2 linked regions of the Lonchura striata genome follow. The main gene of each other region encodes a partner of the protein of the gene in region 2 in a complex. Links are inferred from orthologs where the notes say so. Each region holds a gene or a part of one and is shown on either strand. Other genes may lie near its edges.

The links.
Region 1: ALYREF (region 2) and THOC5 share a complex: the UniProt entries of both Homo sapiens proteins name them as parts of the transcription/export (TREX) complex. The link is inferred for Lonchura striata from reciprocal best matches to the Homo sapiens genes ALYREF and THOC5.

The regions. Positions count from the first base shown.
Region 1 is NC_134620.1:2,954,533-2,961,124, reverse strand, and holds the start of THOC5 (THO complex subunit 5), read right to left. Parts: upstream 3,425-6,592; 5' UTR 3,336-3,424; exon of another isoform or gene 3,323-3,335; intron 2,244-3,322; 5' UTR 2,228-2,243; coding exon 2,132-2,227; intron 1,822-2,131; coding exon 1,741-1,821; intron 1,353-1,740; coding exon 1,209-1,352; intron 631-1,208; coding exon 517-630; intron 1-516. Other genes in the region: NIPSNAP1 (protein NipSnap homolog 1), read right to left, coding at 4,963-5,027, 5,113-5,196, 5,282-5,376, 5,487-5,518, 5,675-5,815, 5,901-5,971, 6,070-6,164, 6,418-6,463 and 1 more. UniProt on the Homo sapiens protein: Component of the THO subcomplex of the TREX complex which is thought to couple mRNA transcription, processing and nuclear export, and which specifically associates with spliced mRNA and not with unspliced pre-mRNA.
Region 2 is NC_134621.1:11,936,424-11,943,015, reverse strand, and holds the start of ALYREF (THO complex subunit 4), read left to right. Parts: upstream 1-3,346; 5' UTR 3,347-3,373; coding exon 3,374-3,601; intron 3,602-3,760; coding exon 3,761-3,892; intron 3,893-5,755; coding exon 5,756-5,903; intron 5,904-6,071; coding exon 6,072-6,135; intron 6,136-6,253; coding exon 6,254-6,431; intron 6,432-6,592. Other genes in the region: PCYT2 (ethanolamine-phosphate cytidylyltransferase), read left to right, coding at 486-576; ANAPC11 (anaphase-promoting complex subunit 11), read right to left, coding at 2,903-3,048, 3,120-3,228. UniProt on the Homo sapiens protein: Functions as an mRNA export adapter; component of the transcription/export (TREX) complex which is thought to couple mRNA transcription, processing and nuclear export, and specifically associates with spliced mRNA and not with unspliced pre-mRNA.

The sequences.
Region 1 (6,592 bases), on a different chromosome or scaffold from region 2:
GCCCAGGCCCATCTCCCCCAGCCCTGGAGCTCCAGAGGAAAACTCCCCCCTTGTGCAGGATCCTGCTCCAGCAGAAGCACAGCTGGCACTGCAGGAGGGCTGAGCCCCCCTGGGATGGGGCTGAGCCACCTCCCTGACACACAGGGGACAGGGCTGCTCTGACTCTGGCAGTGGTTTGTTTTTGTTTGTTTGTACTATTATATTTGTATTTTTAATTTTCCTAATAAAGAACTGTTATTCCTATTCCTATATCTTGACCTGAGAACCTCTTAATTTCAAAATTATAATAATCCAGAGACAGGGAGTTTACAATTTCCATTTCAAGGAAGGCTTCCTTAGCAGACACCTGGCTTTTAAACCAAGACAGAGCCTGCAAACAAACCCCCAACTCAAACCCCACGACCTGGCCGAGGTGCAACCCCTCACACCACGCACGCAGAACAGGCAGGACCTGCCCCATCTCTGACCCCCCTAAATCCCAAGCTGCATTCCTCCCTCCCAGCCCCTCCTGGCTACCTCGTGGGTCTGGTCCCTGCCCTTCTTCAGCCGGATGTGGGCCAGGCGGTTCAGCTTCTTCAGGGTCATGAAGTGCACACAGCTCTGCACGCGCCGCTCGTCGATCTCCGAGGCCTGCGGGGTGGGAAGCAGGAGAAATGGCTGGCACCACCTCTGCAGGGAATTCCTGCCACAAAAGGGGTTCCACGCTTTGCTAGGGAGCCACATTTATGTCACTGGGGCTTCTGAGGGAGCCTCCTGCTGCCAGATCACAGGAGGGGGGTCCAGGCTCCTTAGAGAATCACTCCAGCCTTTTTTCCTCAGCAGCAGGAACAGAGCTGATCCAGCCTGAAGCACTTGACGTGTCCCAGGAGCCTGGCACAAGGGAGGCTATTCCAGAGCTCAATCTCTGCCCCAGGAACCCAAGACAAGGGAAACTTCCATTTCCAGAGCTCAATTCCTGCCCCAGGAGCCTGGCAAAGGGAGGCTGCTCCATTTCCAGAGCACAATTCCTGCCCCAGCAGCCTTGGACAAGGGAGGCTGCTCCATTTCCAGAGCTCAGTTCTTGCCCCAGCAGCCTGGCAAAGGGAGGCTGCTCCATTTCCCTGACTCTGCCCAGGAGACATCACAGCTCCTGCTGCCTTTCCTGTGGGATTAATGGGGAAACACCAAATGACAGACACGTTACACCACACGTGGAGGCCTCTCCTCACATTTTCCTTGATGCCCCGGCTCTTCAGCTCCTGGATCTCTGCCATGAGCCTCTGGAGCTCCTGGCAGGTCTCCCTGTAGAGCTCGTAGTCCTTGATGGGGTCACGCAGATCCACCTCACTCTCCTCGCTGTAGTACCTGACATCCTGCCAAGGCAAGGACACCTCCCGTGGCTCATCCCATCCCTCCCTCTGGAAAGGGCTCTGGGAGACCAGCTGCCATTTCTGCTGTACCCACGAGTCCCATGGCTTTACACAGGGAAAAGACTCAGTTCCAACAATCCCCAACCCACCAGTCACTAAAACACCTGGCAAGTTCAGGCTGTCTTTTATTATTATAGATTTGAATTGACACCGTTGGGGTGTCTGTGCAGGGCCAGGAGTTGGACTGGAGGATCCCTGTGAATCCTTTCCAACTCAGGATATTCCATGATCTACATGACACAGAGGACAAACCAGAAAGGTGATTCCTCCTCCTCCTCCTCCTCCACCCCACTCCCCACTCTGGCTGATCCTACACTATCCTGCTGCTCACGGGAGGGTTTGAAGGCACCATGCAAATCCCTGAGGGATCTTCCAGCTTTGTGCTCACTCTCCAGAGGAGTGTTTGTGTCTCCTGAAAGAGATGGAAGCAGGTTTAGGAATTCACAGCGGGAGTTTAGGAGGCATTGGAAGCTGGGGGAAACTGGATCTCACAATTCACAGAATTCCAGAATGCTTTGGGTGGGAAGGGAGGACTTTAAAGCCCATCCAGTCCCGTGGACAGGGACACCTTCCACTACCCCAGTTTTTCTCCAAGCCCCATCCAACCTGGCCTTGGACACTGCCAGGATGAGGCTGCCACAGCTTCTCTGGGCATTGTTTTCCAGCAGGGAAAGCCAGGCCAGCAGAGAGGGGTGTGGGCAGGTCCCGGGGCAGGTCTGTACCTGGTCCGTGTCGCCCTTGCCCCTCTTGCCCTCGGCTGGGACCCCGTCCGTGCGGATCACCTTGGGCTTCCTCTTCTTGCTGGACTCGGAGGACATGGTGCTGCCGGCAGGGCTGGGGAGGGGGCACAGGGTCAGTCTGTGGGGGCCAAACCTGCCTGGCCCAGGGCTCTCCCGGGCTCCCCCCGCCAGCCCCGCCTGGGCTCTGCAGCATCCCCTGTGCCTCCCTCCATCCTGCACCTCCCAGACCTTCCCAGCCCCCCGAGCAGCACAGCGAGCCCGGGGTCTGCTCCACCACAGCCCCCCGAGCAGCACAGCCCCTCCGGGGTCTGCTCCACCACAGCCCCCAGAGCAGCACAGCCAGCCTGGGGTCTCTGCCCCACCACAGCCCTCCAGAGCAGCACAGCGAGCCCGGGGTGTGCTCCACCACAGCCCCCCGAGCAGCACAGCCCCTCCGGGGTCTGCTCCACCACAGCCCCCCAGAGCAGCACAGCCAGCCTGGGGTCTCTGCCCCACCACAGCCCTCCAGAGCAGCACAGCGAGCCCGGGGTCTGCTCCACCACAACCCCCTGAGCAGCACAAGCCACCCGGGGGTCTCTGCTCCACCACAGTCACCCCAGAGCAGCACAGAGAGCCCGGGGTCTGCCCCACCACAGGCCCCCGAGCAGCACAGAGAGCCCGGGGTCTGCTCCACCACAGCCCCCCCGGACCCCCGCAGTGCCACTGAGCTCCCTGGGGACCCCGGCCCGAGCGCTCAGCCCCTCCCCGAGCCCCCGGGCTGCAGCACACGGGATTGCGGCTTCTGCCTCCCCAGAGCCTCCAGACCCCTCACAGAGCCGGGACCCTTCGCTCCTCCAGATCACCGCAGAGCCCCGCACATCCATCCCGGGGCGTCCGTTGCTCCGAGCCCCCCAGAGCCGGGACCCTCCATCTCTGCAGAGCCCCAGAGCCCAGCGCACCGGGCCCAGGACCCCTCACTCCTCCGGAGCCGCCCCGGGCCCTCACGCCGGGACTCTCTCTCTGAGCCCGAGGCCTCAGCGCTCCGCCAGCACGGCGCCTTCGCCCCTCCAGACCGGGACCCTCCACTTGCACTGAGCCCCTAGCACACCGGGGCACGGACCCGCCCCTCCGCAGCTTCCCCAGCCCAAGGGAACGGGGCCGTTCCCTCCATCCCCGCCCGGGCTCCCGCCTCACCCCCGGCTCTCACCGCGGCCTCGGCTCCGCGCCGCCCGGAAGTGACGTCACGGTACCACAGCGCGCGGCGCGGGGCGGCTGCCGCAGCGCCCCCTAGCGGCCTGGAGGACCCGCCGCGCACACCAGGGAGCGTGGCCTCGGCGGGTGGGCGTGGCCTGTCCAAAGGGGCGTGGTCACCATGTGAGACCCCACACACGCACAAACCGGGGGCACTGGTGGGACTGGGGGGGTTCCTGGTGCAGAAGGGCACCCACAGGAATGGGGGAGCCTGGATGGGGTCCCAGAAGCACTGATGGGTGTCCATGGGTTTGGGATAGGGTCCCTGATGGCACCCCTTGGTTGGAGGGGGCATGGGATGGGGTCCCTGATGGCACCCCTTGGTTGGGGGGGCATGGGATGGGGTCCCTGATGGCACCCCTTGGTTTGGGGGGCATGGGATGGGGTCCCTGATGGCACCCCTTGGTTGGGGAGCCATGGGATGGGGTCCCTGATGGCACCCCTTGGTTGGGGGGGCATGGGATGGGGTCCCTGATGGCACCCCGTGGTTGGGGAGCCATGGGATGGGGTCCCTGATGGCACCCCGTGGTTGGGGAGCCATGGGATGGGGTCCCCGATGGCACCCCTTGGTTTGGGGGGCATGGGATGGGGTCCCCGATGGCACCCCGTGGTTGGGGGGGCATGGGACGGGGTCCCTGATGGCACCCCGTGGTTGGGGGGGCATGGGATGGGGTCCCTGATGGCACTGGGGGTACCCATGGGCTTGGGATGGGATCCCCAGTGGGGTAGGAGGCACCCAGGGGCTTGGGAGGGGCACAGGAAGGAGTCATTGGTGGTGTGGGAGGATCCATGGGCTTGGGGGGGCTGGGGACGGGGTCCCCAGTGGCACTGGGGGGATCCCTGGGTTTGGAATAATGTGAGAAAAGGTCCCCAGTGGCACTGGGGGGATCCATGGGCTTGGAGGGTCATGGGATGGCATCCACTTTAGCACTGGGGGGTTTCAGGGGCTTGGGATGAGGTCCCCAATGGCCCTGGGGGTGTCCATGGGCTGGGCTGGGCCTTGGCTTGGGGGATCCAGTGGTGCTGGGGGCTCCAGGAGCTTGTGGGGTGCATTGCATGGGGTCCCTGGTGGTGCTGGCAGTATCCATGACCTTGTGGGGTGCATGGGATGGGGTCCCTGGTGGCACTGGGGTTTTGGGGGGGTCCCTCAGTGTATCCCAGCACCCATGGGTGGAGGTCTTTTGGCACAGGAAGCACCCATGTCATGGGGCAGGGCAGCCCCCCTGACACTAGCCTGGGGGGTCACACCAAGCACCCCCAGTCCCGCCCTCCCCACCCCGAGAGGGGCCTGGGCTTTAGCATATTAAATATTTAATTGGCAGCAAAGGCACCCGCTGGGCTCATCAGGAGCAATTAAGCCCCCCCCACCTGCACAGCCCCCCCAGCAGCACCACCCTGGGCACCCACCACAGCACGGGGGGCTCCCACCTTCCCCTCCCTGCCCTCCAGGGCACCCCAAAACGGGGTGGAGGAGAGAGCTGGGAGCCAGAGGGAGCAAAGCCCCCCAGTCCTTCCCCTGCAGGGCCGGGGCACGGGCAGGGGGGCCCTGGGGGTGCAGGGAGCCCCCCTGGCACGGCCCCAAATCACTGCAGGGGGGAGATCTTCAGGGGAATCATTATCCGGGATTCCATGGTCCGGATCAGCGGGACTGGGGGAGGAAAGGAGACACAGGTGAGGTTAGGGGGTCCCCAGCACGGGCAGGGGGTCCCCAGAGCGGCTGGGGTCCCACTCACCGGTGTAATAAACGTTCTCATCCCAGCCCCTCTTCCTCCAGGCTGCATTCCTGGTCTCCTCCCGGGACTGCAGATCCCTGTAGGCTGTGGGGAGAGCACAGGGGGGCACCCTGAGCCCCCCCAGCATAGCCCCCGGGCCGGGGGTCCCCCGGGGATGACCCCCCCTTACCCCAGAGGTGGTGCACCACGTAGAGCTCCCCGATCTGGGAGAAGAACCCCCCGACTGCCTCCTGGTTCTCCTGGCGGTACTTAATGGCCCGAGCCCTGCACGGAGCAGAGGACACATGGGGGGCTGCCCCAAGGGTCCCCCCTTCTCCAGAGGGAGCCTCTCCCCCCACCCTGGACCCCTCCACGCTGGGGAAGCAGCGCCTTACCAGTTGTTGCCCCACTCGATCATGGTCCCTGGCTGGGAACAGGGGAGGAAAACCAGTCAGAGCCCCCCTGCGTGCCCAGCTTGGAGTCTCCTCATCCAGGAAGGGGGAATTCGGGGGGCAGCCCACCAAAAGTGGGGTACACCAGCCTGAAGACCCCCCCCTGCAACGAGGCACAGGCTGATCCCCACCTTCAGCTTGTAGGTCCTGAGCTCGTAGATGTTTGGTCCCTGGCGGGGCTGGGGCTCATTCCAGAAGCTGAATTCCAGGAGCAGCTGGTTCCTGCGGGACAGCAGCATCCGGCTCCTCTCCTTGCGGAAGTCCAGGTACTCCTGGGGACAGCCCCAGCCGGGGGTTTCGGGGTGGGGGCGACCGGGGCTGTCGGGCACGGGGCTGTGGCCCCCACCCCAGCGGTACCTGGTTCTGCCTCAGCTTGTTCATGCAGTCCATGAGCGCCGGGTACCCGCCCGAGAAGCGCCACAGGTGCACTGCAAACAGGGGTTTTGGGGTGGGGACGGGGAGCAGCGCCCCAAAAATCCCACCGAAATCCCTGCCCGTGGCAGCAGGAGCCGCTGCCTGGCCTCACCTGCCTGGTCCTGCTCGCCGTACCACGTGTTCCAGTTGCCCACCAGGTCACAGGGGTAGTCGGGGTCCGAATGGAGCTTGGGCAGCACCTCCTCTCTGTGGGGGCACAGAGAGGCACACTTGGGGTGGGGGTCAGCACCCCAAAACCCTCCCAGTGCCCCTCTTCGCCCTCCCAGACAGGATACGGTGCAAGCTGGGGGATGCATCCATTTCACAGGGAGGGAAACTGAGGCACAGAACAGGGACACAGATCCACCCAGGAGCTCCACGAACCCTCCCACCCCTCCCGGCCCAGAACAGCACCCCAACACCCCGCTGGGATGCTGGGAAGCCCCCTCAGTGTGCTCACGTCAGCTGGTTGTAAGCTTCCAGGCATTCCGGCTTCACATTGTGAACTGCAGGGACAGGAGAGAGGGGCTGGGAACGGGGGAAGGATCCGGGAACGGGCTCCCATGGGTGAGGGGTGCAGCCCATCCGTGCCTGCCTTGCTCCCGGCAGGAGCACTCACACTGGATCTTGTAGAG
Region 2 (6,592 bases):
CAGCCTGTAAATGTGATTGTACCAATCAGTACAGGGAAAGGAACAGCTGAACTCTGCTGTGTCAGAACTGCACAGCACATTTATTGTTTTTTCTCCTTTAATGATAAATTTTCTTTGCTGTATCCTGTGGAAAGAGCATGCTTCTTTCAGAGCTCTGGTCTTTTAGGTCTGAGTCCTTCACTTTCAGCACCTTGGCTCACATCAGTGATACATTTGATTTTGGTGTTAAAACACCCAGGACAGCCCAAGAATGGAATAGCAGCTTCTTTCACAGAGGGAGGAAGAAATCGTGTGTAACCCAGAACTGCAGAGTACTGGCAACAGCCATGGGAAGCTCTGGGAGAGGCTCTGGGAGTCCTGGGGGGTTTTTGAAGTGCTCTCAGAATTGAACCACATAGAAGGCAATGCTCTCCCGCTCTAGGTGCTTTTGCCTGCAAGCAATATTGGATGAATGAGAATCTTACAGCATTGTGTGATATTTGCAGGCTGGAGTTTGAAGCTCGCAACCAGAAGAAAGAAGCAAAAGAGCTGGCTGTGCTGGAGGCCATGAGAAGGTTGGAGGAGGAGAAACACTAGGCTGCAGAGTGGGGATGTGTGAGCCACAGAGTGCTGCAGCTTCACCCTCTGGTAGAGCAACTGCTCTTCAGGAAGAGCCCCCTGAAGGGGGGCAGCACTGCTGGCACGCAGGATGTGCTGTCCTACCTTTTGCTGTCCTAGCTCCTCCTGCACTAATTATGCAGACATAACGAGTTGGGATTCCGTTGCCTAGTTTTATCTCCGTTAATCAGTCCCTGTCCCTTTTCCCAGGAGGAGATTTGACAAAAAGGTTTTAATTATAACTAATGTTTTAACATGTTGATGTGCTTTTACCTTCTGCCATTTCTGGCTCTTAGTAGGAGGGAATGGAGGAGCTGCCCATGCCCCCTTGCCCTTCCAGACTCTGCATTGCAGAGCAGCCTCCTGGGCAGTGGTGTGGGTGGCTGGACAGTCAGTGAGAGCAGCCTCGGGGACAAGACAGGGCTCACGTTGTTCCTCCTGTAGCTTTTCCTCAGAAACAAGGGGCTGGCTGCCAGAGGTGGTGCTGGGCTCTGGGGTTTACTGTACTGCCTCTTCTCAGCTCCCATCCCTGCACACTGCAACCCAGAGCTACTCTGGGTTGAGCTGGATAAAGGCAAATCCTTTGCTGCCCCAGTGACAGGCTGCAGGTGGCAGCTGATGCTGGGTCCAGGCATTTCTCCACACAAAGCATAGGGACCCTGGGGCCTTTTCCCAAAGGCTCTCCCATTTGCAAGGCAGCAGGACCTGATGCCTTGTGTGGACTGTGCTTAGAGCCCCACTTGCTTCTGCTGTCAGAGCCCACCTTGTGCCTGATGGATTACCTGAGGGCAGGGCCTGGCCAGGTGAAGTTTTAGGGTTGTTTTCTGATTGCTGACACTCAGCTTGCCTGCCTCTAAGGGGAGGTGCAGGGCTGGGAGAATGGTCCTGAGCTGTAAGCCCCTTTTGCCTCTTACATTCCAGGATACTATGGTGGGTATCCTTAGCAGCTCACTGCACTGTGCCAGATGGTCCTTCCAGGCTGTGTCTGGTGTCCTCTTTCTTGTAAACTTTTGTTGCTGATCATTAATAAAATGTTGAAGAGTTGTGCATTGGTCTTTTGGGGGCTTGAACCCAGGAAGGGGGCATAGGGAGCACATGCTGAAACCCCAGTACTGGTACTGAGAGAGAGCGCCACACTTGCACCTCATCCATGCAGCTCATGGCTCCCTCCCATGGGCACTGCAGGAGTTTGTCCTGAACAAACAGGGCTGGGCAGAGGCTGTGCCAGGTCTCCTGCAGCACAAAGGGCAGCAGGGTCTTTCTGTCTGAGGGCAGACAGGGACAGGAACCCTGTGACTTCAGTCACCTGCTCTCCTGCACAGCCCCTTGACCCCTGCTGTCCCTGCATTGTGCCCTGCAGCTCCTACAGGCCTTGGGCCATCCTCAGCACCACAGGAGGGAGGGGAGGGCTCAGCAGCCCAGAGCTCCCCAGATCTGGGTGGATTCCCCATCTCTAGCAAGCGCAGAGAAGACAAAGCCATCCCGAGCATGTTTATTGTCACACCATAGCCACCAGCACCGGCTCAGGCTCAGGCAGCCATGCACTCCGTGGGGTCCAAGGACAGAGGCGAGCCTGCCTTACACCCAAGACATCCTGGCAGCGCCACGGCCACATCTGTCACACACAGCACGTGCGGGAGGCACCGTCACAGGCTGCGGGCCTGGGCCAGCGCAACACTGGCTAGCACAGAGGGCGAGCGCTAGCCTGCCTGCCACGGTGGGTACCCTGCTCCGGCTGCTGCAGAGCCCCGCGGGGTTGAGGGGGCTCCGGAACCGTGCCCAGCGTCCCAGCCCGAGCCCCTCGGGCGGCCTCGGTACTCACCGCGGTGCGGAGCCCCGAGGCGAGAGGGCGGAGCTGGGCAGCAGCACAGCGAGATCGGGTTCGGCAGAGCCGTCGGTGCCGGAGAGGCTGGTGTTGGGCGAGCGGCACAGGTGGGAGAGCAGCCCCAGGTCCTGCCCACCGAGCAGTGGCGGGGCGGCACAGGACGAGCAGCACCAGCCCCAGCCCTGGCCACCGAGCAGCGCGCACGGTGCCGGCGCGGCCGTAGCACCTGGGGCCGCCGCCTTTACAGCCGCAGGTCCCGGTACGCCCACCCCCGCCTCAGAGGCGTGGCTCGGCTGCCGGGGCGGCGGAGCCCGCGGGGCGCCCGGCGGGGTCACTTCTCGCCCCCCCCGCTCCGTGCACCGACCCGAGCGCGGGGCACCAGACACAGACACGGACACGCAACTGGCGTCGCACATTTATTGAGTGGGGTCGAGCCGGCCGGGGGTGGGCCACGGCCCGACCCCGTTCCCGGGGCCGTCCTCACTCGCGGAACTTCCACTCCTGGCGGCACATGGGGCAGTGCTGCTGCACCTGCTGCGAGTTCAGCCACTTGAGGATGCAGTGCATGTGGAAGCAGTGCGAACACTGCCCCCACACCAGCGGGCAGTCGTCGCCGGGAACCTTACCTGCGGCACGAACACACCGTCAGCCCCGCCCCGTGCGCAGTGCCCGGTGTCGGTGCCGCTCCCGCACTCACAGTCGGGGCAGCAGCCGTTGAAGGCCATCCGGCAGATGCCGCAGTTCTCGTCGTTCGCCACCCACAGCCAGGACGCGACTCCGTGCCAGCTCCGCACGCGCACCCGCATCTCCCGGCCGGTCCCGCCGCGGCCCCGCCGGAAGCGCTCCCGCCCCGCGGCGCTTCGCGCGCCCGCCGCGCCTCAGCCCCGCCTCTTCCGCTTCCGGCGCGGGCGCAGCGCGGCCGGAAGTGCGGGAGGGAGCGGTGCCGCCATCATGGCCGACAAGATGGACATGTCCCTGGACGACATCATTAAGCTCAACCGGAGCCAGCGTGGGGCCAACCGGGGCGGCCGGGGCGGCCGGGGCCGCGGCGGCACCGCACGCGGGGGCGGGCCCGGCCGGGGCGGCGTTGGCGGCGGGCGCGCGGGCGGCGGCCCCGTGCGGAACCGGCCGGTGATGGCCCGGGGCGGCGGCAGGAACCGGCCCGCGCCCTACAGCCGGGTACGGATCGGGCAGGCGGAGCTTAGGCCGCGGCGGTGCGGCGGGCTGGGGTGGAGGGTCCGCGCGGGGCGGGGGCGCGGACGCGGGCGGCCCTTTGTCCACTCCCGGCGCGGCTGCGGCGCCTTGGCGCCGGTCAGCGAGGTCCCGGTCTCATTGCAGCCGAAGCAGCTCCCCGAGAAGTGGCAGCACGACCTGTTCGACAGCGGCTTCGGGGCGGGGGCCGGCGTGGAGACCGGCGGAAAACTGCTCGTCTCCAACCTGGACTTCGGCGTTTCGGATGCGGACATCCAGGTGCGGCTCGGGGAGGCGCCGCGGCGAGCGGGGCCTCATTCGCTGGCCCAGGTCGGGTACCCGCGGGAACCCCGCCGGCCCTGCTCCGGCTTGTGCTCGGGGCCGAGGATTCCCGGGTGAATCCCTGCTGATGGGGTTGGTACTAGGTATGCCTACTTTGCGGCGATCGTGGTGGTCTCCAGGGGGCTGGAAAATTCGGTTTATAGGTGTTTTGTAAGTGACTTCCCGGTGTACAGGGAGCGATGCTGTGACTGTGCTGGATCACGCTGTGGTTGGAGGATGCACTGTGAACTCTGAGCTCCTGCTCTGCACAGCTGTAGCTGTCTGTAATGGTGCTGTGGGGCCTGCTGCTTTGTCAGACCACACTCTGGTGGGTGTCAGGGGTTCCCAAGGATGCACCTATCAGTGTAACCAGGTAGTTATTTGTCATAGGAACAGCTCTCCTGTGCTGGTGCTTTGGTGTCCTGTCCCCCACCTGTCGTGTCCATGCCCCGTTTGGGCTGGTCAGAGCCCACAGTGCCTGCAATCGGGTGCTTGGGGCATCTGCCTCAGGGCTGGAGGCTGAGGGGTGTCACAGGGTCATGAGTGGGCTGTGAGCTGTGCAGGAATTGAGGGCCATGTATCCCTGGTGGAGGCTCCTGCACCACAGAGTGTTGCCATCACCCTGGCCTCTGGCTCTTGTGCCCTCACCAGGGAAAACCAAAACAGTGGTGTTAGACTTTCCTCATCAGTTCATTCATTCAGCCTCTCCACACACCCATCTGGCTGCGTGTGGAGAACTGGAAAGCAGCTCTGTCAAGTCACCTGCTCACTGGGTAGTGTGCTGCACTCCACCTCTTTTCCTCGTATAAGTTCAGACTGAGTTTAAATAAGTTTTTGTTTGTTGCAGTGAGGTGGCAGTGTGTAAAACTCAGCCCCTGTGCCTTGTGTGCAGCCAGGACTCACCTTCCTGCTGCTGCACAAGCCCCCACTGGGGGCTGAATCAACGGCTTTGGCCCCATGTCCCATAATTTAGCATTGCCTCAGATGTGGGATTGGTTTTGTTCCTGTGCTGATGCCTCTTTATGTGCCAAGAGAGGCCGAAGGTACTCTGATCACAAATGAGCTGTGCAGCATTGCTCTTTGTGTCCTCTGAGGCAGAAGCAGCAGATCCTGGGCTCTGGGCAGAGCTGAGACAGCCTTGCCTGCCACATTCTGTCCAGAAAGCATCTGCCAGGTGTCCTTTGTAGTTCTCCAGCAGCCCTGCTGAGAGCCCTGTTGTGACTTGGGAGCAGGTTGACACAGGCAGTGCAGTAACCTTGTTGGCTTCCCAGATATAGTGCCTGAGAAACAAAATTGGTGGCTCTGTTGCTGCCTCTTTATTTCCAACTTTTGTGGCAGCAAAGGACACACCTCAGCAGAGGACTTTGTTGGTCTCCATTTTTAGGATATGTTTCTAATGGGCATAAGTCTAGCACAGTAAAAGTGTCATAGTCTCGTGGATCCCTGCAATCACATGGTCATTCTCCTCTGTGAGAAAGGTGTCTGGGGTCTGCGGTATTTTCAGTTGTTGCCACTTTGACTCACCTTCAACAAGGACCCCCAGTTCCCCTGGGAAAAAAAAACAGGTCAGCATCCCTTGAATCTGCTTCACTGGCTGTAATGTGCCTCCTACAGGACGTGAGCGTGGAGTCCTGCCTGGTTTTGCCACTTGTGACAGCTCCCTGAAATCTTGCTGATGGGCTGTGCTCCCCTGTGCCACTGGGTGTTTTTCCAGGCTGTCTGAGGTGGTGGGACAAGCTCTGGTGCTGAGCGTGTCTGTGTGGGGCGCTGCAGTGCTTGCAGCATTGATGGATGGGCTGCTCCTTTCCCTGTCATTCTCAGGAGCTCTTTGCGGAGTTTGGGACCTTGAAGAAGGCAGCTGTGCACTATGACAGATCTGGCCGCAGCCTAGGAACGGCAGATGTGCATTTTGAGAGGAAGGCTGATGCGCTGAAGGCCATGAAGCAGTACAATGGGGTCCCCTTGGACGGTGAGGCTGCGTGGCCCAGCCCCACGACTTTTTCTGTGGCTGGAGCAGAGCACATCCGTGTCCCTCCCCTCGTGCCCGTTTCTCCCACGCCCTCGTCCCTCCCGCCCGTCCGTGCGGCTCCTGCCCCGCGCGTGCCCCGTGGGCTCACGGACGCTCTCCCTCCTCCAGGGCGCCCCATGAACATCCAGCTGGTGACGTCACAGATCGACACGCAGCGGAGACCAGCACAGAGGTGGGGGAGCCCCTGCCCAAGCAGTGCAGGGGAATGTGCAGGAACCCTCCCTGCTGGGGAACGTGGGTCCTGTTTGGCTTCGCTGAAGGCACTAAAACAGTTGTTTTAAAACTTACAGTGTAAACAGAGGTGGCATGACCAGAAACCGTGGGGTCTCGGGGGGATTTGGAGGTGGAGGCAACAGGCGAGGGACTCGTGGCGGGAACAGAGGGAGAGGCAGAGGAGCTGGAAGAACTTCCAAACAGCAGCTCTCTGCAGAAGAACTAGATGCACAGCTGGATGCTTACAATGCCAGGGTAAGTGCTGCTTGGGCATGGTAATGGGCTCCCTACAGCATCTCATCCTGGGAAGCACTGGCAGTCTGGAGCTGGCAGAAAAGGGAAAGCATTTTCCAGGTCCTTGGACTGAAGCAGTCTCTCTCTAAAGCTGAACTGTGCCTTGGCTTGGGTCTGAGCTT